Daphnia pulex: one gene and its partners. The protein of the gene in region 2 purifies or fractionates together with the protein of the main gene of each other region. This does not show direct contact. Links are inferred from orthologs where the notes say so. Each region holds a gene or a part of one and is shown on either strand. Other genes may lie near its edges. The genes, in order: RNA-binding protein 28-like, F-box/WD repeat-containing protein 7-like, E3 ubiquitin-protein ligase MYCBP2-like, transcriptional coactivator YAP1-A-like, F-box/SPRY domain-containing protein 1-like, nuclear factor NF-kappa-B p105 subunit-like and dolichol-phosphate mannosyltransferase subunit 1-like.

Region 1 (4,056 bases), on a different chromosome or scaffold from region 2:
TCAGTGGGTGGGCCAGACAGCAACTCTCCCACCTGAGAGACCTGTACAGCCAGCGACCAATCCCCCAGCCCCCACACGGCCCTCGTTCTCGCATCCTACTAACCCCCTGCCTGCAACGTCCGCTTCGTGGGCTGCACGTTCCCGTGCAGCTCGTACCCAACAGTGAAATAATGAAAGTATCATTTGAAGGCTTTTAAGATTTGATGGTAACAATTAAGTCATGAATATATGGATATTGTTACCGATATGTACGACCAACCCTTGTTGTAAATGTTTATCATCCATTTTCTTCCTCTGATCTTGCCACTCTTTTGCATCCCTTCCCGTTCTCCTCAGTTCTCGATTTGCTCTTCGTAACGTGTCGCAGCCTTGGAAATCGTTTTTTGAAGTAAAGTGATGAAATGAAAAAAAAAAAATTACTTGTATGTTGTCACACTTGTAAATTACGCGACAAGCTTATCGGAATACAAATGGTTTCTCAACACCAGTCTACACTTAATAATAACCCACAAGGAGAAAAGACGAAATTTTCAAGTCATCAATTTATTCAACATAAAACTTACGAATCAAACCACTTCCCTTTCTTCCCAGATGTAGCTTTAGCCATTTTAGGAGCCCCAGTTGTTACACTACCAGCAACTTTCTTTTTTGTCGATTTTGTCTTGGCAACTCCCTGGCAAGAACAATGCAAAGTTAATTTTTTATTTATGACTGTATTCCCTAAATTTACCTCTTTCTTCTTAGCGGACGCTTTGCGATTCTCGGGATTTTTAAACATTTTTCTTCGAATTTTCGGTTTCTTTGATGGAACAACTTCAGCATCGGGGGGACTAGGTCGTTTACGATGTCGAATTTTCGGTCCTCTATGCGATGGTAGTCCTTTAATTTTAGGGTCAGCTTTTGCTCCACTGAATTCTTGAACGGGTAGTTCAGCAGTCGCATTGGTAGATGCGATTTTTTCATCTTTCCCTTTTTTTACATTTTCAAGACTTTTCTGAACACGGTTCAGTTTGGCTTTTACGGCAGCACGATTCTCCACACTGAATTCCACGATAGGTCGCTAAAAAACAAAAAAATAAAATAAAAATAAACACAGAAAAGAGGAGTCTCAAGTAAATTATGTTTACCCTATCTTTTGAAAACAAAGTGGGATTGTTGTTGATATTACGCAATGCCAGTAATGCGTCTTCGTGTTTGGTAAACTTTACAAATCCATGCCCTTTGGATGGATGTACGTTTCCTTCACCAACAGCTTTTAAGTCGCGCATAATTTTAGCCTAAAATAATCTGAAGTTAATAAGATTCTTGTTATACAAAACCAAAAATTTACTGCACCTCTACGATTTTGGCATCTGGGGATGAATGATTCTTGAAAAGCTTAGACAACTTTTGATCCGTAAGTGAGGGTGGAAGATTATGGACAACCAATCGTTCCCGTGAAATAAACATGTGGAGATTTCGAAGCATTTGCTTTTTCCATAGTTCGTTTTGTTGCCTTTTCGCCATGTCAGTTGGAGAAACTCCTTGAGCGGCTAAGGTACCAGGTCTAATAACTAAAGAAAATTGTAAGATAAGCAAGAAAAAACAATCTTTAATATCTACATTCAGAATCTTACATCCTTCGCGAGCAAGAAATAGATTTCTCTTATCCTTATGTTCCTTTTTTTCAGCTTCTTGCTTTTTGTGATCGAGGTCTTCCCGAGTAACTGCAAGAGCCACGTCTAAAATGCGTCCATCTAACTGTAAATATGGATTTCGAGACTCTTCTAAACACTTTTGAGCCGATTCCGAATCCTAAAAATGGTTAATATGAAAAGTTATTAGTATGTATTTATTTTTGCAATAATGCAACTTACTCTAAATTTTACGAATCCAGTGCCCTTGGGTCTCTCCATAATTTTATCCATACACAACAATGCATAGTGAACACTGCCAAATTTTTCCATGAAATTTTTCAACGAGTCTTTTGTGGTTGAAAAGTCCAAATTTCTGATAAAAAGAGTCTTTCCTTCTGCTACATCACTCTTCTTTTCTATTTCAGAATTATCACCCTTCCAAGCTTCTTCTTTTTTTGGACTTTCTTCTTCACCGGAACCATTCTCAACTTCAGAATCAGAAGCTTCTCCATCTTGTTCTTCTTCATCATTATCTTCTTCTTCATCATTACTTTCTTCATCATCAGATTCTTCATCTTTTCTGTCATTTTTCTTCTCTGGCGGCTCAATGTTTGGAACTTCGTCAGTTTTATTATTTAAAGTGGCATACTGTTGTTTTGGTATGGCCCAATCAATAGCTATTTGCCTTCCTACAAAAAAAAAACAATTGATAAGCTATTATCAAATTTAAAATGTTAAAATTTTCTTACCAAGAAATGGTTTTGCATTGCATTCTTTGATTGCTGTAGCCGCACATGGAACTGTTTTAAATTGAACAAAACCACAGCCAACTAAAGTGCCACCAGGTTTCTTTAATAATTTCACATCCTCAATTTCTCCATATTTCTCAAACCAGTTTTTAACAGCTTCTTCTGTTGCCTGTTAATAAATTAAATCAAGTACTAACTTACTAACATACTAAAAGTAGCATAAATTAAAGTTTCTTGGCTTACTTTGAAAGATAAATTGCGAATAATTATTCTTCCTCTTTTATTGGGTGGTCTCTTCTTTGATGTGTTTGCTTTAGTAACAATAGAAGCTTCTTTTTTAACTGAAGAGTGATTCATCTTTTAAATCTATCCAAACACGTGCTTGTCTGTATAACTGATGTAGCTAGTCAAGCAGACGATTATATGTGTCAAAATGTAGCATAGACTGTTGTCAATTGGCAAAATGACAACTAATGAGGATTAACATGAATACAACAATTACTCAGAAAATAAATTTTATGTGGCTATTATTTTATGAAATATTTAATCTTACCTTTCAGTATATTAATCAAAACCAAGTTTGAAATTGTAAACATTAAATCGACGTTGCCGGTACAAGGAGTCAATCGAACCTCGTCTCCGACGCCATTCGCCCATTCCCAGCCTTTAATCAAACCGGCTTACAGTCTTAGTGAAAATTTGGACAATAATTAACTGTTTTCCTCTGCTGTGTTTCTTCTTATTGTCGTACAAAAGCTAACAATCACACGTTAATCATGGGAGAAGATAAAGATGATCGTAAAGGTATGTTTTAACTTCTCTAAACTACTTCTGTCAATATCAACTATAATGCTTTTGTAATGTTCTTAAGAGTCTGTGATGCTTAAGAAAGAAATGTTTAACACACATTACTTACAAGTAATGGGTGTTTAATGATCTGGTTGTATTTTACACATAATTTCATAACTTTTAATGGTTTATAATGTTGGCTCGTGGTTTTGCTTTTGTATGGAAATATTAGTCATAGTAGTTAGAAGGTAGTCAAGCAAGTAAACTTACTTGTTTGATTTATTAACATTTGAAATACTTTAGTTGACAGGGAGAGAGATCGTGACCGTTCCAGAGATAAGGAAAAGGACAAGGAAAGAGACAAGGATAGGGAAAGAGATAGAGACAGGGATCGTAGACGGTCCAGGTCTCGTGACAGAAAGAGAAGGTCTAAATCTAAGGAAAAGGAGAAGGAGAAGAAGCGTAGCAAGTCCCGTGAACGTGAACGCAAAAGGAGTCGTTCTCCTGTTAAAAAGCAACGCCGAAGAAAGCCGTCTATTTACTGGGATATTCCTCCTATTGGTTTCGAACACATCACACCCATGCAATACAAAGCAATGCAAGGTATAAATCCTTATTCAAGTTTCAATTTTAATGTGCTAATTATTATTTTCTTGAATCTACGTAGCTGCCGGACAAATTCCAGCTAACATAATGACGGAAGTAGCCCCACAAGTCCAAGTACCAGTAGTGGGTAACACAATCACTCGTCAAGCCAGGAGACTCTATGTTGGGAATATTCCTTTTGGAGTTTCTGATGTACGCGCAGCGGAGGAGGAAATGATGGATTTCTTCAATCAACAGATGCATTTGTCTGGTCTGTCTCAAGCTCCAGGTCATCCCATTTTAGCTTGTCAAATTAA
Region 2 (4,083 bases):
TTTGATCAAGGAAAACAGTTGAATTAGTAAGAGTGCTTGCTACAAATATCTGATAAAAAGACTGACTTATTTCCGTGTAAATGCATGCAACGGACAGTGGAGGTGTGGCCGTATAATGTGTGCAAACACTGTCCAGACTCAGCGTTCCAGACTTTTAAGGTTCTGTCTGTACTCCCGCTGACTATAATATTTCCCTGCATTTGAGAGGACCAAACGCCTCCCGTATGTCCCTGCAGAGTCCTCATGCACTGTTGAGTGAAATGACAATTAAATGGTTGTCTGTTCTTAAGACATTTCGCGTTTTTAAAGTCTTTGTCCTGTCTAGGCAGAAAGCCCAATGAATTACCTTTCCCGTAGTAGCCGACCAGACTTTGAGCGTGTTGTCATCCGATCCCGAAACGATGCGGTTTCCGCAAAACTGTAAGCAGGTGATGACGTGATCGTCATGACCTTTCAATACCCTTGGCTGTGGGATCGGCCTCACTCGCCAATTCAACTCAATATTTCGGTGACGCATATAAGTCGCCTGAAAATGCAACGAATCAATATTATCTTGCAACCTATTAACGTTTAAGCCAGATTGATCTATTCACCTTCCAGGGTGACGGAGTAATAATTGGTGCATTGTTTTGGCTAGATCCGGTGGGGGAAGAAAGACCACAACTGAGAGATGAGTGGTGGGAAGATCCGCGAAGACGTCGCTTATTTAGAGTATCACGAACGTCATCGATACCCGCTTCACGACATTTTTCTCGCCAGAGGAGATTATCTTCAGCCAAGACTCTCCAACAACGGCAGGTTTGTGCGGCGCGAGTCAAGTCGCGAGGCGTGAGGAAACTGAGAACATACAGAGCCAGTTCTTTGGGCAGCAGCGATATGAAATCGCGTTGGAACTGTGGTTCAATAACAGCCATCATGTGACGGACCTGAGTGGGTTCACACAGCTCTATCAGTTGGTCAATGGCACATAAACGCTCAGCGTTCGACCAGTACTGCAATGATAACAAATGGTTTTTCTTAGCAATGAGTTAGTGGTTGAGAGAATGACGAAAAATACTTGGAACGTGTGAAGCCACTGGCAAAATCCTGGCGGAGGATTGTCTTTCGAGGGAATCGGATTACGGTGAACATGGCAGTAGATTGACGAGGAAGATGAATCAACACCTTCACCCCTTCGACATGTTTTTTTCTCCGTGGCTACTTCAGCTGCCATCTCAGCTGTCGACTCCGACTTGCGCTTGGTCTACAACACACCACCTTAATTAAATTCATGTTCTTAATAACAAATAAGTGTTGGATAAACTTACAGCTCCTGGTCTGGCGACGTCATCATTCTCCGAGGTGGGTGATTCCTCTTTAACGGATACATTGCTGGCGTCGTTGGCAGGAGCAGTAGGTGTCGATGATGTAGGTGTTGTGGGGAGAGGAGGAGGCGATTGAATGATGCTATCGTTGCTCCGAGTCTGTCGAAGCGAAGGCGATTTGCCAACGGGCAGTGGATTTATTCTGCTTGTTGACCGGCGCTGCCTCAAACGGCAAGCACCCCATTCGTTGCTGCTGCTACTTCCACTGTCGTTTTGCTGGTCTTCTGTCGCGTTATCACTTGAACTAGATATCACTGGTGTGGTGCTCGGAGTCGGTTGAGCGCTTGTATTATCACTGCTTCTAGGGCAACAACAAAACATGTTTAGAATCAAATGACGCATTTTTGCCTAATCCAAAGAACAAAGGCTTAGATAAGAGTAACAATAAAGAAATATACCTACACTAATAGCAAAACCATGAGAAGGGGGTATAAATTTAGTATTGTATAACACTATTTACCTGCTCCGAGTGTTGGCTTTTCTTGCATTCACCTGAGACGACTGAGCTGGTACTGATATTGTTAGTATCTGACGATTGGCTTCAATCAAATTTGTCCCCACACCTGGAGCCAGACTTAGATCTTCGATGGATGTAAATCCTCCAAGGGACTACAAAGGAAAAACACATGTCAAAACCATATAAAACACACTGGTGTTGGGTTAATCCTAAACTTACATTTCTGGTTTCCACAATGGCTTCAGCTCTGCTGCGTCCAACTCCAACCAAGGTGGAAAGCTCTTCAACAGTAGCCACATTGATGTCTACCAGGTTTCTCTGAGCTAGACTTTCATTAGCAGTGTCGCCCATGCCCCTCCCACTACTCCGTCCTCTGGACGCTGGCATAAATTATTTCTGCTGGGTTTCTGACTGCTACGTAAGCTAGAGATTGAGAAGCTGAGCTATTACTAGGAAACCAAAACACAGCTGCCTAGACAACAACTCATATCCTCAATTAAACACTAGTCATCTCATCTGCCAAGAAAGAAGATTCAATGTTGTTAATAAAGGTTTCTTTTTATAACAATAATGAAACAAAGCAAGAATGATTCACACTTACCGTCGATAAAAATCCAGTGAAAAGTGCAGCGAAAATTATAATGGCGTTACGAGTCAAAAAGTGCAATCAAAATAAAAGTAGAATCTTTTTAATGATATGGGCGAGGGCTTGATAGTGTGTAGTGTTTTGGGAACAAGGGCAGACCTTTAAAATGCGATTTTGAAAATATTCCGCAAGCACGGGTGGGCAAAAACAACTTAATCAAATAAAGGATTTAAAATAGAAAAAATCTAGCACTAAAATGATTCGGGCATTTCGATTTCACAAAGAGCGTAAATATAGAAAAAAATTTGTACACGAGGATCAGCATCAAAGAGAATTTTGTTTCACACGAATGGTGAAGCCGAGACAGACAACGATATATGCTGGACTAAAAAGCGTTGCCAAATTGCTTGTTAACATTTCCCAGTTGCTGGACGCGCCCTGTGGTCGTCATCACATGCGCTTTTTTCTTTATTTCGCTTAGAATCTCGTAGCAAAACCCACTTGACACGTTTACAGTGTTACTATCGAATTTATAGTGGTAATTATTATCCTTTTTTAAACAACAAAGCTAGGCGGTTTTTTAAAGGCCAATACGTGGGCCTACCTCATTTCATCTTTCCCGCCTTTCTTTGTACATACATCCCCCACCCTTAATAATATTTTTGTATTGCATTACTATCAAAGAGTATTATATCATATTTTTTTTTAAGTTTCTAACTGTTCAGTTCTTGAAACTTCAACGGATCATCATCGCTATTCATCGTTCCCCCTCCTGAAATGTCCCCCTTGAATCTCTTCATACCATCAGCCCTTTACAGATCCAACTGAATTAAAGCCACAATTTCAATAACAATGGAAGTTTTGGTGCAAATTGTTTCTCAAGCATTTCAACTCTGTTGAAAACGTTACTGCGTAATGTTGAGTTCTAGTTCTCTCATACGGTTGGACGAAAGTTGAACCCGATTCAACCAATAGCCAGTTAAGTATTCATCCAACTAAATTGTGTATCTATATTTTTGTACACATTATAGCAGCTACGCAGTGTTAAAGGGCGCCCGAATCTTGCTTTTTCTAGCTATCGCTAGATGACTCGCGATGAATTATAAACGTTCGATATAAGAAATTCAAACTGCTACTTACGCGATATCTCGCAGGTTTTTTAAAAGTTGAAGGTTCGTCCTCATTAATAATATAATTGTAACAAATTTTCGTTTTTCTCTGATTGTTACAATATTCAATTCCGTTTATTGCCCCATGACATTCAAAATTTCTCGGATTCGGAGTGATAGCTGCTACCGTATTAGCATTAACTTTTCAAAAAGATCATTAGTAAGCGCAGCACAAAACATTCGGTGATCTTGTGTTGAATGTTGAATTCGCTCTTTCATCGGGCATTATCGTCGCTTCCCCAGTCATGAAAATAGGTCGCTCATTGAATTGCCAAGAAACTTTGATGCACATTTTGTGTGGGCATTGAGAAATCTATATATTTTTTAATAAACCAGCAATTGGTCTTTGACCGGTTCATTTAAGTGCAGAAGCACCGGATTGAAGAGGTGTGAGGTTAGGCGCGCCTATTTAAACAATGGAGTCGTCGTTGCAGCTAACGAACATACGTTGCGTCATTTGATAGTGTTCGATTGTGAATGACGAACGAGACCAACATGCGCTACGGT
Region 3 (3,500 bases), about 720 kb from region 2:
AAGCTAGAATTAATTTCCATATCAACTGAGGAATCCAATTTGGATCTAACCTGAATGCCTCCTTCGCCACAATTTCCTACCCAGCCCCCGCAGTACTGTCCGTCGGGGTTGTAACCCAATCCAAGGGCTGGCTTCTGACAGCCTGGATGAGCTTGTCTCATGTGAGCGGTTACAGGCACGGCAAACAATCCGCCGCATAGTTCACAGTTAGATTCCGGTCGGATGCTCTCTCTACGGGACTTGCGTTTTCGCTCTTTATCGCGTGCATCTCTGTTTTCAGTTTTCGGTTTAGCCTTGGACACGCTCTCATTCTGGAACTGGGCGACACTGAGCGTCGAGGATGAAGCCGTCGGCTCAGACTGTATCAACTCAACACAACGCCCGCTCATCTTTTCCCAAAGTTCGACCAGGAGGCTAAGTGTTGGAGTTAAAGACGATGCCACTTTGTTGTCAGGAACATCCGGTTGTATCTGATGATTGCTTGCCGATTCCCCTCGTTCCGTGTTCCAACTCTCTTCTAACGCTACCGGCAGTGGAGATGCAAACGGCCCTGATAGCATATTAGTAGAAAAGATTTCGACCGAGTGCCGTTGGCGCGCTTTCTCCTCTCGTGTCTTGCGATGTCGAGGATCTCCGCGCAGTGGTACAATCGGGTCCACTTGCTTGGGTAAATTGGGATGAAACTTCAAGAAGGAAGCGCAAGCCATAGCGTCGTGAACCAATCCTTGATGCCAAAGGTTGGCGGCGAAGACAGCGCGCAGACATTCGGCCGTAGAGGGACTCATGCCAACGCGAGCTATCTCTTGTTCCAGCATCAGAGAGCGCCCACCAATGTGCTGGCCAGCGGTTGGTGATCGCGATTTTCGGCTTCTTGTTCCACCACGCGACGCTCGCTCTTTGGTACGAGATGCTTTTGGGGACAACCGCTGAGGTGAGCGGGTCAAGTCAGATATCAACTCAGCACCAAGATTAAACTGATTGGTTTTGTTGGCTTCCGGACTCGTCTGAGTTCCCATTTGTGTAACGTTTTTAGCCTGGGATTAAAAAAATAATAAAGAAAAAATGACTTCACATGAAAGTGTTAACATTTTCTTAAAATACCATAACTGTGATGACTGATTGATCCACACTCTGCGACATTTGCGTTGCTGGACTCAAACTTCGGCTACGTTGAGTATTTTCTACTTAAAATAAGGGGCAGGGAGTAAAAAGTCAAAATTATCTGTAATGCTTCTAGGTTACGGTAACTAACCTAATTTTACTGTACCAGAAGAGGGAAGCGAACCGGAAGGTTTTGAGCAGCCTCCTGGTGACGAATGAGCCGATAGCGAACGATTCACCACCGCGATAGCTCCGGTCTTCCGACTAGGAATGGGGCTGGAGGAAGGTGAAGCGTTACCGTTAGCTCGGCTCTCGCCCATTACTCGAACCATATCCTTAACCGATACTCCTTGCAATTCAGGTGGAAAATTCCTGGGAAAACCAAATATATTGACAAATTTCAACAAAAATGTAACAAATCAATGATTAACGATGCGAACCTTGAACGAGGTGGTGGACTAGGCGCCTCTTTAACTAATGATCCGTCACGTCTCAGCCAATTTTGAAATGCTGAGAGTCGCCCTACAGCAACTGCAGCAAACGGGCCACAAGATCCAACCAAAGCTCCGGCATCTTCTACGCTTGATTCCAATGATGCTTCCTGTTTAATTAAACGTTGTTCAATTATTCCAGCAACTAAAAATAACTAGTTTTCATTTACCTGCACATGAAGTGACGCCGTTGATTCAGATGTACTTTGGACATTTGATTTTGGAGACTGGTCGATCTCGCCTTTCGGAGGCGATTTCTGTGAGGAGGTCGGTCGAGGAAATTCGGAGTCTTTGTCTATGCCAAAAATGAAAGTGCTTACGGGCTCTGGAGACGAGAAGGCCGACAGATTAGCCTGTCGCTCAGCACTCTCGCTAAAATCGTAAGCCGGCTTGAGTAATTGTGCCGGACTAGATTTATCTGAACCTGCTGAAACTAGAAAACAACAGTAATGAATAACACTGATTGAACCTTCCTGTCCATGTTTCAATAAATTACCAGATAGAACCTCATCTTCGTGGCGGAGGTAAACCATTTGATGACGATCAACAGCAAGTGACCAAGCCTCCAGTTCGTTATTTGAACAGAACTGACGAGCGGAAGAGGGTAAAAGCTTTACCCATGCTCCCTCCGAAGTTTGTCGCTGTTTAAATAATTTCAAGATGAAAATTTAAAAGCTTATTAAAGTAATGGAATCATACTGAATACCTGCTCAGTTACTAAAAATGAGCTGCCAAGTTTTAATTTTCCGACCGGCAAAGCTTTCAAACTGGGCAGTGCTCGAATGTTATGTCCAGAAGCTCCACAGTCAACCACATAGAACGTCTGCGCCGAACTGAACACTTTTTCTTCTTTCTTATCACTGTGATAATAAACAAAAGTGTTAATTTCATTTTCCGAATTAAATTGCTCACAAAAGTACCTATCCGCTTGACTGTTTTTATGGTGTGAGGGCGGGTCGTCACCCATCTCGTCTCCTTCATTCTGAGTAGTACTGATGGGAAAGAGCAACGTCTTACTGATGTGCTGGTTGTATTGGAGGCACCATGCTTCTGAATATGGATTAATACACCATTCCCTGATAGATTCCGTGCTCAATCGTAACCAAGTTCCGTCGTCATTACACAACTAAAGAAAAAGAGAATGCAATGCTGACATTCATCAAACATTACAATATAAAATATTTTGATTTCAAATACCTCTTCAATGAATGAGATGGTTCCTTCGCATGCTACAATCCCTATTTGTTCCCCTTGAAGTGAAGGCTGAGCCCGCACACGCAAACCAGCACTTGCTCGAGTTCGGAATTGACGTAGCCGATGAGAAGGTGACGAATTGTTCCTTACTGTGACGTTGTGGGAGGGAGGTAAAACTCCTTGTGGTGGCTCTTTCACGTCGACTTTGTAAACTTCATCAAGCGGGTAGCCGTCGATGGTTACGTGAATAGAATAAAGTCCAGCAGCACTTGGTGTCCAGTTAGCACTGTAAGAGCCATCAGCGTTGGGCCGAACAAGCATTGTTTCGCTAGTTCTTCGCTTGATGGGTGACACGAATCGGAGCTCCTCAAACGAGTAGTTTTCATAGGCCTGATTTACAAATTCGTTTCAGACCAGTGCAATCAGTTAAATAGTTGATTTTTACGAACCTTAAGAAATGTGATGGCGTGAAGGCACATTCTATCTTTCGTGGTAACATCATATGGCACATCAAGAACTGGTTCGAGATGTTCATCGCAATTTTTCTCGTCTCCCGAGTAAAGCCGCTTGGTTGGTGATAACAAAGCATCGTTGGTCGTCTGCGTAAGGTCACATGGAACCGCTCGAATATTTACCTGAAACAGAATATAGATAAAAGACAGGTTAAACTACTAACCCAGCATAAGTATATGCAAATCACACCTTGAGATTGGG
Region 4 (3,586 bases), on a different chromosome or scaffold from region 2:
TTTAATCACCCATTCAATTTAGTTAAGATATTTCATTGTGGTAAGCTAAGCTGTATGAAGAATGGAGGAATGTAAATATGAAGTAACAACTGAAGAATTTTTTTTTTTCATTTACTGGGTTGAGACCATGTACATAGCTATTTTCTGCTTGCTTTTATCATCACACTCGAAGACAAAACATTTTTTTAAAGAATAAATCCTCAGTGGAGAATTTTTTTTTGTTTATTCTTTTCATATTTCACATAAGTTGATAGGCTGTGTCGTATTCATGATTTCATAGGCTGCCGACTATTTGGACGAACAAGCAGAAAAAGCTGGCCGAGTTCTCCGAAAGAGAACTGCAGGAACGCGCAGCTGGTACCATAAACTCATCGGCAAGAAAACATCGGATGGTTCCGAGGCCTTTTATATTGGTTTCATCGGAGGTTCTCTGGCTGGATTATTTATTGGAGTAATTTTTTAAGCGTTAATGATTGATGCATAGACCTTAAAGACTCCAGCACTTGTAGAAAGATGTATTCATGGACAAAAGTCAACAGACAAGAGAGAAATAAATCGCATAAGGCCATTCGGAGCAACATTTTAACAGTTTCTAATTGTAATAATTCTAGTACGACACTATTCTAATTGACACTTAAAAGGCCTTGGGGAAACTAGCATGTATCAAATAAATCGAAAAGTTCGCCCGTCACCAATACAATGAAGTTATACATAGTTAATAACGTTTCCTGTAACCCCCTCAACTTCACCTTGTTAAAACAAAACGATAAATCCGAGCTACCAGATAACGTCAAATCATAAATGAAGGCACTGAAATTTAAGACATTTCTTCAAGGCATGTGTTACACACAATTTGGACCGTTTAAATTACTCGAGGTCCGTGAAAGCCAAGAGTGGTGGTGCAAAGTTAACTGTCTGCATCAGAAAAAAAAATTTAATAATAATGGAGAACGAGCGAGAAGCGCAAGAAAAATCCAGTTTTAAGGCTAGTAATCATGGCCATACAGGGGGACGGGTCACCAAGACATTTTCAAATGATATATCTCCTGCTTCGTATTCGGTTTGCGAGTGGCTTGTCAAAAACATTTGGACAGGGTATGCAGAAAGAATCATTTGACGAGCACATTTACAGGTAATTCAAAGGCATTGAAAAGGAACACACAATTTTGACCGACACACGAGGGAATTCCCAGGCATCTTATTGCTTCACACGTTTTATAGGCACGTCAGTTTCTCTCAAGACGACGATACTGGAACGGGCGCGCGACCGGACCGGGATCTCATCTTTTTTTTTTTACACCTAGAACCATCTTCCCTAGAACAAGAACCTACAGTCATAGTTGCATATATGTTTTAAAAAGTGATGGTTTCGGAATCAAACGAAACAAATATCGAAAATCTTGTTAGCTCCTCCTTCCGTTTCCCAACAATAACTCTTAATACGTAAATGATAAGCTAGTACGACAATGCATAATACGCATTGTGAGCTAATCTTCCTCTAAAACGTTTGCACTTTCAGAACCGAATTGTTTTTGATTAACTCTACCGCTAGTCGTTAGCTCTACATATTCAAAATAATTGCCAATTTCTGAATATTCGTTAAGATGAATCCCATACTAAAGGTTAAGGCCAAAATGTAAAAGTTAGTTGATCACGCCCAATGCCAAACCAATAGATGCGTAAACTTCAAGACGTGTTGAAGAAAACCATCGACGATATTGGCATTCCATAGAAGATATTTATAAATTTGGGATTCAACCAAGACGAGCTGTTTCAGAGCCAAGTAAGGACGTTGTCGACTTTGTTTGAATTCAAAAGAACGTCATTCAGGATGTCCGTCGATAACTCTTCTCCCAACTGTTCAAAAATAATTGTTGTTTTAAATCGAAATGACATTGTGAAATGTATGTTCTTACATCCAAAGTAGGTACGAGATCGTCAGTAGTGTCCATATGAGCAGGTAGATCGCCAGCCTCTAATCCTCCATTCATGTCGTTCATGTCGTTCATATCGACAGTGCCAACAGAAGCAGGACCTAAACAACGTAAACAATCCGTTACTAAAAATGTGAACTCAACGATGTGAAACAATGAATAATATAGGAAAAATTAAACTAAAATAAAAATTTAAAAATTTAAATTAAGACTAATTTTAAAAATCAAAATTACAATCAAGCGTAGTGTCCATTGTGTCATCCATAGAGGCGAGGAAATCCTCGGGTGTGTGAGGTAAGCTATAACTGCCACCCATACCCAAACCAGAGTCGGCCGACTCTTGACGAGCATGAAAGTCGGTAGCCAATGACGAAGGTGGAGCTGTCGAAGACTGAGGGATATTTGTGGCCGCTCCGTTTCCTGTTCCATTGACGCAAGTATGGGGAACGGCGGCGGTAGCAGCAGCCGACGCTGCACTAAGAAAAGGATCCACCGTGTTGGAGCTAAGCTCGTTGGCCGCTGCACTGTTGCTACTCGATTGCGTATGAAGAGGATTCCGTCTCATGGCGAACTCCGGTTGCTGTTGGGAACCGGTGCTGTTTTCTTGCTGACGGACGCGAGTTTCTCGTTCCATCTGCAATGAATTCATCAATGGAAAACAAAGATCACACAACACCTTCACATGAACTAAAATACCATGGCTATAATTTCCTGTTGTCTCTGTCTTAAACGATCCTGCTCCTGCTGAAGTCTTTGCAATCGCAATTGTTGCTGGGCAGCCTGGGCAGGCGTCAAAGTTTGCTGTGAAGTTCCTATTAAATAAAAATAAAAACATCAAATTGAATGTTTACCGTCAGCACTTCTGAGATTTGTTTTCATAAAATAAGCCTCACCTGAAGCAGCTGGCTGCTGAGTAATCTGTTGTTGTTGCTGTAAGGCGGCAGCGCTCTGTGTTCCAGCGGCGTGTACCATGGGTGGCTTCTGCATGTGAATAGCTGATGATGGAACAAACAGAAACGAGACATTAGCGTGGCGAGCAAGTGGGGAAAAACAAATAAATACAAAATAATAAAAGAAGTTGCTATTACGAAGGCGAGGATCAAACCACGAAGTCTTTCTCGTGTGATGATCAATGAAATAGAGTTCTCCTTCCGGAGTAACTGCTTGTTCCCATCCATCCGGTAGAGGACCCAAAGCTTGGGTTAAAGCTTGCTGAGATGCCGCCAAGACAGCCGCTGCATTACTTCCTGTTAATTGAATGAAAGTTACATAACCGGAAAGCCAGGAATTTGTATTGTTTCACTTACCGGCAACTGGCGCCGTAACGGCACTGAGTAAAGGTGGAGCTACCATGTTTGGTGGAGGAGCCGGTGACAACGGCTGAATCTGTTGCTGCAGTAATTTTTTCCGTGGATCCTCCCATGTTGTTGTTTGAGTCAGGTGACTGTAAAGAAGAAAAAGAAAAAACACATCAGCAAGATGAAAATCGGTAGAATGTCTGACACGTAAATAACAAATTATTTGACAATGATAAACGGCAACGCTAAACACACGCGACTAGACACAATAGTCTAGGACAAACCTGACTGAAATTGTTCGGTACCATGTTGGAAAGACCTTGGATTTGTTTCACGCTAATAGAATCAGATAAA
Region 5 (3,396 bases), on a different chromosome or scaffold from region 2:
TCCTGTCAAATTACAGATATCATCAAATTTCATATAGAACTATGATAGAATCTAAATAGACTAAAATGGAAATTCCCCGTATTTATTCCTCCAAATGATTTCAGAACACGATGAGCGAAATGGCGCCCAAAACGCCATCACCAGTCGATACCCCACACCGGTAAGTTTTCCCCCTTATTTTAAGATTTTTGCAGACATCTTCACTTAAACTTTCCAAGCTCAATGACAAATAGTATCCTCCTTTATTATCTAATTCACTTTATGAATAAAAAATAAAAATCCCCTCAATCCAAAACAAAAGAGACAATAGGGTTTACCTAAGGTTCTGGGCCAACTTTATACGATCGTCACTAGACACACACTGCTGTAGCATCAGCAGGCAGCTAGGCAAAAATGCACGAGGGGGTGATGATGGCACAGCAGGCCAACGGCTTAGTTTTTATTATATTTTTTTTTTCTTTATTTTTTCGTCCGGGGGGTTTACTGAGTGAGCGTCTTATATGTACGTCATATGAGACTGGGATTCAATTCAATTCTAACTTCTCCATGAGTTCGCTTTCTATCTATCGCAATTTGCAATGAAAAAAAAATCGATACTTTCAACGGGCAGAAATTCGAAATTCAAACAAACTCGTGACCTTGGGTCGTTGGGTGAGAACAAAAATATGAACAAATGATTTTCGATTTTCCTTGCTCGTTTAATTTCTCCTTTTCTCTTTTTCAAATATTCATGTAAAATACTAAGTAGCGCTAAAACATGAAGGAGAAAGAGGAAATTAATTAAGCGCAGGCAAGTGTTCAGCGATTTCGTTATTTTATTTTATTAATTTCTGAAATATATTTTTTTTATTTCGCTCTTTTAAATTGGTCTATTTTTTTAATTTGGCTGTTAATACAGTTATCGTAATAAATGTATCGTAATAACTAAGTGCTAATTTGATTAATTTCATGGGAAAAGCGTTAAATTTTTATTGAAATCGAGCATGAATATGAATGAAATCATAAATCAGAAGGCTAAGTAAAATCAAACGTCGTCTGCTTTTCCGGATACGCGGGAACCATTTCAAACATAAACTAAAATATTATTTTATCTTAAAAACTAGTAAAAAAGTAGTTTGATATTAATATATCGTTTTTTCACAGGTGTAATTCAGTGTTTTATCAAGTTGTTTAGATTCTCATAATTTTTGTTCGGTTTTCTTATTTCAGATCAATTGCTATGGCAATGTGGCAACACCGGTTCTGCCATAGAAGTATTGTCAATTGCAGAAAAAATCGAAAGAAATTTCCTAAATGAATGTTGAAGTGTTTGCGAGCCGGCGTTTAGAATGCACGTGGATATACTACCAGATATTATACTAGGAAATATTTTCTCATATTTGCCGCTGCAGGATTTAAGAAGCAGTTCGTTGGTGTGCAAACGGTGGTACAGGTACAAGTTTTCTTGAAATCAACACCAGTTTGTGACTATTCGCTAGTGATCTACCGTTGCTAACAAAACCAGCGATTGTTTGAAACTTATGTTCTCCTTGCACATTATTATTTGAATCAGTATACTGAATGATGAGGACAATGATGTCTGGAGACTGCACTGCATACGAAAACTGGCAGAAGAAGTCCTGAGCTCAGACCTCCTATCTTCCGCTCCTACCTACAAAACAAAATTAAAAGCATTTCACCATGCTTGGAACCCAGAAGACTGCTCTAGAAACATTTATATCAAACCCAATGGTTTTACCATACACAGAAACCCTGTTGCACAGAGTACAGATGCTGTGAGAGGTAAAATTGGTGAGTACTAAATATTGTAGATGCCTGTTGCAAGTGTACATATTAATCCATTCAACTAATGTTTGTGCAGGATTCAGTCAAGGTAGGCATGCCTGGGAAGTGATGTGGGAAGGTCCTCTTGGAACAGTTGCAGTTGTTGGAATTGCAACTAAAGAAGCAACTCTCCAGGTATAATTGTGTTAAAATTTGAATATTTTATCTAAAAATAATTGTCAAAATCCATGTTCACAGACACATGGATACATAGCTTTACTAGGATCAGATGACCAAAGTTGGGGTTGGAATTTGGTTGATAATCATTTACTTCATAATGGAGATTCCCAAGGCAATTACCCAATGCTGAACAATGCACCTAAATACCAAGTGATTGAGTCTAACCAATGAATGAGTTGAATCAACCTAACCTAAAGTTTTGTTGCAGGTTGGGGAGCGGATACGAGTCATTCTTGACTGTGATGACAATACATTAGCTTTCGAAAGAAACTATGAATTCCTCGGAGTGGCGTTTAGGGGCTTACCAGAGAAGCTCTTATACCCTTCGGTGTCGGCAGTCTATGGGCACACAGAAGTCTCAATGGTCTACCTGGGTCCTCCCTTGGATGGCTAACTGTCGCCTGTCCCCCTCTCCTAAACAGAAAATTTCTTTGTGTGAATCAATTTCTACAGGCAAATGCGTTTTGCCAACCAAGAAAGGATGTTGTTGTAAAAGAATCCCAAAATTCAGTGTACAAAGGTTGCGTTGGGAATACCGCTCTGACTTAAAACATTCCCGTATTTTCCCATTCTTCATTTATTTATTATTTTTTTTTTTTTCATGATTTCCCTGGTGTGTGTCAGATTATTGTAGTGTGTTACAATTCAAATTTCGTGTGGTTGTGTTTTCACGTTCAACCGAAAACCAACAAATGGTTAATCGTCCGGTCTGACTGCTACTTGCGAAATAGATTTGTATAACTTAAAATTTCCCTGTGTATGTTTGTATGACTTGGGACTGGTGATGATGCTAAAGAATAACTGAACCTCTTACTGCCCAAAGTTTGGCGTTTTGAATAAAAAAATCTAATTCGTGTTTAATTACTCGAATAAATGAAAAATGACTTGTCTACACTGCCTTTATTTAATTTTATAAATAAGCATTATTCAAACACTTAAAGGTGTTAACCAATGAGTAAGGAATCAGGTTTTCTAAGTACTCCTACATTTACCATCGTATACGAATGGATTCGATCGTTTAGGTTTTTTCTAGCCTCATTACTACTTCATGTGTGATTTTTTCTCTTCTAACGCTTCTAACTGAGAAATGTACTGATGGGCACTTGGATCCTAGATTTCTAGCAACATATTGGTCAAAAACTGTCTTGAAGGTCAAACAAAAAAGTTTGTTTAACTGTATTTCCATTACGCTCATCAAATCGAACGACGATCGAGTAAAGGCTTTAATGGTTTTTCGCATGTTGAATTAATCAAAGCGCAAAAGCAATATCATTCCAAAAATAGGTCAAAATCAAAGAAAGTTTCGTCCCCTCTTTTATGGTTTATTGTGTACGTTGACCTTCATCAACCTCATAAAGCGAAGTGTAAGTGTCATGTACCACCGGAATTTTC
Region 6 (2,341 bases), about 7.5 Mb from region 2:
TTCTTGAAATTGCGCAAATGTAAGCTTTCCAGTGTATTACATGAACTCCTGATCTTGCCCATTTTCATATTTTAATAACAAAATATTTAAGTACTTTCCGTGCCTTAAAAATTTTGTAATTCTATTCATCGAAATGTGTAACATACTCGTTATTATCTTCATTTTGAAAACTACAACACGATTAAAATAACGATTACCAGTTTACCACAATTTAATATAATCATGAAGAAGCCAACAATACACAGTCGACAAGTTATTTATTTACGATTTATTTTCCAACACCTTATCTATAAAATATTTGAAAAATTTAACTAATTTGGTCTCACCGACGATATTTCATGTTATATATCATCTCAAAACAAAACAAACAAATTACGCAGTTTCCCAAAACAATAACAGATTAAACGCATATTATATAATCTTAATTGTTACCCGATGGATATAAGAAATACAGCTACAGCGCTGTTTCAAAGAAGTGAACAATTTAGTCCATTTTTTTAAACTAGCCAATACTTAATTGGTTTTTAAGTTGCCAAATAATTTTCAAGCAGCGTCGCAGCATCTGTGAATTTGAGGAAATGCAGTTTTTCCAATACGACCTGAGTCGACACTTCCCAAAGCTATAAATTCAAGAAAGAAAAATCATATGAGTTACAAATAGATAACTAGGAATTTTAAGCTCTATCATTTACATCCATATTTGATAGCAAATACGTGGTTGGACTTTGCTGCTTGTCCAAAACGGTTCGCATGCTCAATAAGAGATCCAGACTATCGGCCAACTGTTCCCATTCTTTGTTGGGAGAATCTAATATGTTAGCCAAGTCACTGATGATACGTTTGTCCAGCTCTGAAAAATGTGTGTTATTCATATTATAAAATGATGATGTGTATATATTGTAGTGAATTGGTAAATTACCTTTCGGCAACTCTTTGCTAGTCATCAAATCGATGCCCGAGTCCAAAACTCTACTATTTGAAGTAGCGTCTGATGCGGTACTTTTCCGCTCATCTTCATCCATCACCAAAAAATTAGTTTCGCAGGGAGCCAAGCTCGTTGACGAGTGCGTACCATCACGTAACACTTTAGCTATCTAAAAATCAAGTTATTAAGTTTAAAGTCAATAAATTAATCTTGATATTTTTTCCTCATTGATTGTTATACCGTTAAATTGCACTGTGCCAAATCTAAGGAACTTTGTCCTTTTTCAACACTACCATCTCCCAACAAGTGTTCGGGGTCATTTTCGTCACATTCTTCATTTTCCGACGATGCGGAAGAATTCACGTAGTTAAGAATTGAGGGATCCGCCCCGCTCTTTATTAATAAACTACAGATTTGATCAAGTTCGTCCAACACAGCCAGATGTAAAGCAGTCATTCCATCATAGCTTTGCATATTCACATTCAAAGATGTCTAAATTTAAATAAAAAACAAGGCCATAAAATTATTGCTTGAATATAAACTAATTAAGGTATAAAACAATAAGCCATGTAATTTAAGTACATGGCAGAGTACGGTAATACATACACAGCTCAGCAATAACGCCACCATCTCTTCCGATTGCTTTTTAACGGCAATGTGTAAAACTGATCTCCCGCGCTTTGTTTCATGACAGTTGACATCAGCTCCTTTGGCAAGTAGCAATTCTACGCTTTTCACGTTCATTGCGTTAACCGCAATGTGTAAAGGAGTAAGACCTAAATAATTCAACGATAATTTGGTAGCCTACTTCACCAAAGCCGCAATCAATTATTTTTAATTTATGCTTACCAGCGTAATTTATCGTATTCAACTTCAGAGCATGGGCTGGCTTCCAATTGGAAGTATTTAAAAGTAGTTGAAGACAGTCAATGAGATGTTTGTCCATTGCAGCAAGATGAATTGGGGTATTTCCGTTAGCATCCACCAATCCAGGGTTTGCTCCGCTTTGCAAAAGCAAAGCTGTAGCCTCGGTTTGGTTTTTAAGAACAGAAATGTGTAATGGTGTCAGATTTGCATTATTTTGAGCGTTGATGAAATTCAGTTCTGTGTTATGAAAGGAAGCCGCATGCAGTATAGCGCGCACAACATCGGTTTGATTGTGAATAAGAGCGTCGTGGAGTGCACTACAAAAATTGTCCAGTTAAACTCACTTATAAGTAATTTTAGCGAAAATTGGCTTACTTGTCTCCATCTTCACTTTGCATTGCCTGAAGAAGAAGAAAAAAAAAGAAACAATACAAATAAATACAAAGTTGATTTTAAAAAGGAATTCTAATGGGCATACCATAAGATGTCGCATACGAGTCAAAATATGACTCAAATCACCCGTCGTGGCGTACCAGCGAATCGCCCGGG
Region 7 (2,774 bases), on a different chromosome or scaffold from region 2:
CACTTCGATTGATACGTTCGGAATCTGCTTTGCTGGTTCGATCGGATTCCCATTCTCTTTCACGGAAGTCACTTGTGTCTCGCGTCCGTGTGAACTCATCACTGCGTCTGCTTTTCTCTCGCACCTTCTCGACTACTTTTTCTTCGACCTTCACTTTGGTTTCTTTTTCTGGTTCATCCTCGCGTTTTACTTCAGATTCAACCACTGTTGATGTCACAAAAGCATTTTCACACTTTATTAGTTCTGCTTTTTCTTCGAACGGAGGGGTGGAAGTCCGTAACTTTTCGTCTATAATTTGATTTGTAAACACTGGCGCTAATTCTGGAACCGGTGGCTGGGCTGGTTCAACTGGAACTGGGCTAGCAGGTTTGATAGGGGCTGCTGGGGGTGGTGGAGGTATACTGATTATTGGGGCTCGTGTAATAACCCCATAAACAGCTAGGGTTACAGTGGTATACCAGCCTCTCAAAACTAAGCCATCTGTTGGTACCTGTAAAATATACTTGGGGTTAAAATGGTTTGTTAATTATGCATAGTAGTCAATTTACTTTTTTATCAGAATCGTAATGAATGTTAGAATTCTGATTGTAATCTAGAACACCAAGTGTCTCAAAAGCAGATGCTCCAGGTTTGCTCAAATCATTCACAAATAGTTCAAGCTTAAACTGGGATGGATTCGTTGCTCTGAAAATACATGTTAATATGTAAACATTATCCTTATAATTTATTTTGTTCTGTCGTAACCTACCCTAAACGCACTCCTCCGGGGAAATCAGCTTGCACTTTGGCGCCTAAAGGTATGACTCGCACTTGATTTATGTACACGGGCTTGGGAAACTGTACCAAATCCAAATTCAATTCCTGCAAAATGTCGCCAAGTTTGAGTTGTAGCCAAATTGATTTATGAATAAACATTTTCTGAATTGATTCAAACCTCTGTGGGACCATGTGCGAACGTATCGAAGAAGAGCAATTCCTCATTATCAATTTTTTTATCAATTATCAATTGTTCTAACACAGACATTTTATACTAGCCGAAAAACTTTCATGAGTAAAATTTTTGAGGGATAGAAAAAAGTTTGAGGGTTCGTAAAAGGTTAATAAACAGCAACTGTCATGGTTTTCTGAAAATATAAATACGACTGCCACTAGAGGGATCCCCAACTCAGTAATCCGCTAGATGGGTCTGGGAGAAACAACCTTTAATTTATAACATTCCTTGCTTCTTGCTTACGTCAACAAGTTTGAATCACACAATTACTTCAAGGCGTCCCGTCAATTTCCAAAACAAATTCAGAAGTGTCGATAAAATGGGAGCTGATGACAAATATAGTGTCCTGCTTCCGACTTACAATGAAAAAGACAATCTACCAATTATTGTCTGGCTCTTAGTCAAAGCCTTTACTGACAGGTAAGGTTGACACTTGCTTGCAGTCATAATAAGATTACAGGTCATAACAATGCATTTTATTTGTTAGTGGATACGATTTCGAAATTATTGTAATTGATGATGGAAGTCCTGATGGGACCCTAGATGTAGCAAAGCAGCTTCAAACCATTTATGGAGATAAAAAAATTGTATGGTAGTGTTAGGCTAAGTATTTTTTTTTCTAATTAGCTATAATATTGTCATATCACAGGTCTTGAGGCCACGAGAAAAGAAACTTGGACTTGGAACTGCTTATATTCATGGAATCAAACATGCTACTGGCAATTATGTTGTGATCATGGATGCTGATCTATCTCACCATGTAATCATCTTTATAAACTTAACCTTAGGGGACATTAATTTTAAAACATTTATTTTCTTGGCAGCCTAAATTTATTCACCAATTTATTGAAAAACAAAAAGAAAAGGACTATGACTTGGTTTCTGGAACTCGTTACAGTGGAAATGGTGGAGTTTATGGATGGGACCTGAAAAGGAAAGTGATTAGCAGAGGTGCAAACTATGTTACTCAAGTGCTGTTGAGACCTGGTGCTTCTGACCTCACTGGTAGCTTCCGCTTGTACAAGAAAAAAGTATTAGAAAAACTGGTGCAATCTTGTAAATCAAAGGGGTATGTTTTTCAAATGGAAATGGTTATAAGGGCTAGACAATTGGGATTTACAATTGGTGAAGTACCAATTTCATTTGTTGATCGGGTTTACGGTGAATCAAAATTAGGTGGGAATGAAATTTACCAATTTGCCAAAGGACTTTTGTATTTGTTTGCCACTACTTAACAAAATTCTTCAAACAATAACTTAAAATACACCTTCTAAAAATTGTTATTGAAATATTTTTGTTGTTTCTTGAATGAGCCATGATATCCATGAGATAACACACAGACCATGGTTAACAAATATAACTAATTCATTAGATTCCCTCATTTATAGAAATAACTAATTATTGAAATACATTTGTAAAATTGAGAACTATCATAATTCTAAAACTACTTGAATAGTTTCAAAATATATAAACTGCTATGGTGGTTATTTCACCCAATAAGCTGATTGCAAGTTCGTTTCCTAGCGTGTCTCCTATAAATAAAAGACGCTGTCGCGTCTTATTGTAAGCGCTCCACAACAAGTTAGTGCATTTGGATCTTCAACAATTCAAAAAATGGAAGGAACGAAATATTTCGCTAAAAACGCTATGCCGCTTTTCTCCCCATTCTTCGTGGTAATGACCATTTACCTAATCTCTTCAATCCAGGCTGTTGAAAACGATACAGGAGGCGATTTTGAGGATGTATTAAGAGAAAATTACAGGGGACCCGTTGCCTTTTTCA

Evidence for each region.
Region 1: the proteins of F-box/WD repeat-containing protein 7-like (region 2) and RNA-binding protein 28-like purify together in Homo sapiens (affinity purification with mass spectrometry, with the first as the bait; 3 studies listed by BioGRID). This does not show direct contact. The link is inferred for Daphnia pulex from reciprocal best matches to the Homo sapiens genes FBXW7 and RBM28.
Region 3: the proteins of F-box/WD repeat-containing protein 7-like (region 2) and E3 ubiquitin-protein ligase MYCBP2-like purify together in Homo sapiens (affinity purification with mass spectrometry; 6 studies listed by BioGRID and IntAct, counting the BioPlex papers as one, with this or other methods). This does not show direct contact. The link is inferred for Daphnia pulex from reciprocal best matches to the Homo sapiens genes FBXW7 and MYCBP2.
Region 4: the proteins of F-box/WD repeat-containing protein 7-like (region 2) and transcriptional coactivator YAP1-A-like purify together in Homo sapiens (affinity purification with western blotting; 4 studies listed by BioGRID). This does not show direct contact. The link is inferred for Daphnia pulex from reciprocal best matches to the Homo sapiens genes FBXW7 and YAP1.
Region 5: the proteins of F-box/WD repeat-containing protein 7-like (region 2) and F-box/SPRY domain-containing protein 1-like purify together in Homo sapiens (affinity purification with mass spectrometry; 4 studies listed by BioGRID and IntAct, counting the BioPlex papers as one, with this or other methods). This does not show direct contact. The link is inferred for Daphnia pulex from reciprocal best matches to the Homo sapiens genes FBXW7 and FBXO45.
Region 6: the proteins of F-box/WD repeat-containing protein 7-like (region 2) and nuclear factor NF-kappa-B p105 subunit-like purify together in Homo sapiens (affinity purification with mass spectrometry; 7 studies listed by BioGRID and IntAct, with this or other methods). This does not show direct contact. The link is inferred for Daphnia pulex from reciprocal best matches to the Homo sapiens genes FBXW7 and NFKB2.
Region 7: the proteins of F-box/WD repeat-containing protein 7-like (region 2) and dolichol-phosphate mannosyltransferase subunit 1-like purify together in Homo sapiens (affinity purification with mass spectrometry, with the first as the bait; 3 studies listed by BioGRID). This does not show direct contact. The link is inferred for Daphnia pulex from reciprocal best matches to the Homo sapiens genes FBXW7 and DPM1.

Annotation. Positions count from the first base shown.
Region 1 is NC_060018.1:5,214,750-5,218,805, reverse strand, and holds RNA-binding protein 28-like, read right to left. Parts: upstream 2,801-4,056; 5' UTR 2,723-2,800; coding exon 2,609-2,722; intron 2,535-2,608; coding exon 2,366-2,534; intron 2,306-2,365; coding exon 1,857-2,305; intron 1,795-1,856; coding exon 1,617-1,794; intron 1,554-1,616; coding exon 1,336-1,553; intron 1,278-1,335; coding exon 1,128-1,277; intron 1,061-1,127; coding exon 731-1,060; intron 674-730; coding exon 560-673; 3' UTR 407-559; downstream 1-406. Other genes in the region: casein kinase I-like, read left to right, coding at 1-166; splicing factor U2AF 50 kDa subunit-like, read left to right, coding at 3,142-3,169, 3,458-3,757, 3,822-4,056. UniProt on the Homo sapiens protein: Nucleolar component of the spliceosomal ribonucleoprotein complexes.
Region 2 is NC_060019.1:12,536,013-12,540,095, reverse strand, and holds the start of F-box/WD repeat-containing protein 7-like, read right to left. Parts: upstream 2,801-4,083; 5' UTR 2,423-2,800; intron 2,338-2,422; 5' UTR 2,209-2,337; coding exon 2,041-2,208; intron 1,974-2,040; coding exon 1,825-1,973; intron 1,666-1,824; coding exon 1,308-1,665; intron 1,244-1,307; coding exon 1,058-1,243; intron 993-1,057; coding exon 594-992; intron 527-593; coding exon 347-526; intron 249-346; coding exon 67-248; intron 1-66. UniProt on the Homo sapiens protein: Substrate recognition component of a SCF (SKP1-CUL1-F-box protein) E3 ubiquitin-protein ligase complex which mediates the ubiquitination and subsequent proteasomal degradation of target proteins.
Region 3 is NC_060019.1:11,812,375-11,815,874, forward strand, and holds part of E3 ubiquitin-protein ligase MYCBP2-like, read right to left. Parts: coding exon 3,489-3,500; intron 3,422-3,488; coding exon 3,236-3,421; intron 3,177-3,235; coding exon 2,790-3,176; intron 2,719-2,789; coding exon 2,513-2,718; intron 2,453-2,512; coding exon 2,299-2,452; intron 2,234-2,298; coding exon 2,089-2,233; intron 2,026-2,088; coding exon 1,763-2,025; intron 1,703-1,762; coding exon 1,542-1,702; intron 1,474-1,541; coding exon 1,253-1,473; intron 1,185-1,252; coding exon 1,102-1,184; intron 1,035-1,101; coding exon 51-1,034; intron 1-50. UniProt on the Homo sapiens protein: Atypical E3 ubiquitin-protein ligase which specifically mediates ubiquitination of threonine and serine residues on target proteins, instead of ubiquitinating lysine residues.
Region 4 is NC_060025.1:6,891,490-6,895,075, forward strand, and holds the end of transcriptional coactivator YAP1-A-like, read right to left. Parts: intron 3,379-3,586; coding exon 3,242-3,378; intron 3,182-3,241; coding exon 2,828-3,181; intron 2,747-2,827; coding exon 2,631-2,746; intron 2,569-2,630; coding exon 2,169-2,568; intron 2,036-2,168; coding exon 1,917-2,035; intron 1,858-1,916; coding exon 1,774-1,857; 3' UTR 501-1,773; downstream 1-500. Other genes in the region: FUN14 domain-containing protein 1A-like, read left to right, coding at 281-463. UniProt on the Homo sapiens protein: Transcriptional regulator with dual roles as a coactivator and corepressor. Critical downstream regulatory target in the Hippo signaling pathway, crucial for organ size control and tumor suppression by restricting proliferation and promoting apoptosis.
Region 5 is NC_060023.1:5,716,068-5,719,463, reverse strand, and holds F-box/SPRY domain-containing protein 1-like, read left to right. Parts: upstream 1-1,232; 5' UTR 1,233-1,328; coding exon 1,329-1,432; intron 1,433-1,552; coding exon 1,553-1,791; intron 1,792-1,861; coding exon 1,862-1,959; intron 1,960-2,022; coding exon 2,023-2,154; intron 2,155-2,212; coding exon 2,213-2,398; 3' UTR 2,399-2,896; downstream 2,897-3,396. UniProt on the Homo sapiens protein: Component of E3 ubiquitin ligase complex consisting of FBXO45, MYCBP2 and SKP1. Functions in substrate recognition but also plays an important role in assembly of the complex.
Region 6 is NC_060019.1:4,989,240-4,991,580, reverse strand, and holds the end of nuclear factor NF-kappa-B p105 subunit-like, read right to left. Parts: coding exon 2,271-2,341; intron 2,194-2,270; coding exon 2,168-2,193; intron 2,110-2,167; coding exon 1,775-2,109; intron 1,702-1,774; coding exon 1,532-1,701; intron 1,418-1,531; coding exon 1,166-1,417; intron 1,095-1,165; coding exon 920-1,094; intron 851-919; coding exon 693-850; intron 621-692; coding exon 525-620; 3' UTR 501-524; downstream 1-500. UniProt on the Homo sapiens protein: NF-kappa-B is a pleiotropic transcription factor present in almost all cell types and is the endpoint of a series of signal transduction events that are initiated by a vast array of stimuli related to many biological processes such as inflammation, immunity, differentiation, cell growth, tumorigenesis and apoptosis.
Region 7 is NC_060020.1:7,388,067-7,390,840, forward strand, and holds dolichol-phosphate mannosyltransferase subunit 1-like, read left to right. Parts: upstream 1-1,175; 5' UTR 1,176-1,310; coding exon 1,311-1,411; intron 1,412-1,478; coding exon 1,479-1,578; intron 1,579-1,640; coding exon 1,641-1,751; intron 1,752-1,815; coding exon 1,816-2,226; 3' UTR 2,227-2,274; downstream 2,275-2,774. Other genes in the region: protein virilizer homolog, read right to left, coding at 1-490, 549-684, 749-861, 935-1,024. UniProt on the Homo sapiens protein: Transfers mannose from GDP-mannose to dolichol monophosphate to form dolichol phosphate mannose (Dol-P-Man) which is the mannosyl donor in pathways leading to N-glycosylation, glycosyl phosphatidylinositol membrane anchoring, and O-mannosylation of proteins; catalytic subunit of the dolichol-phosphate mannose (DPM) synthase complex.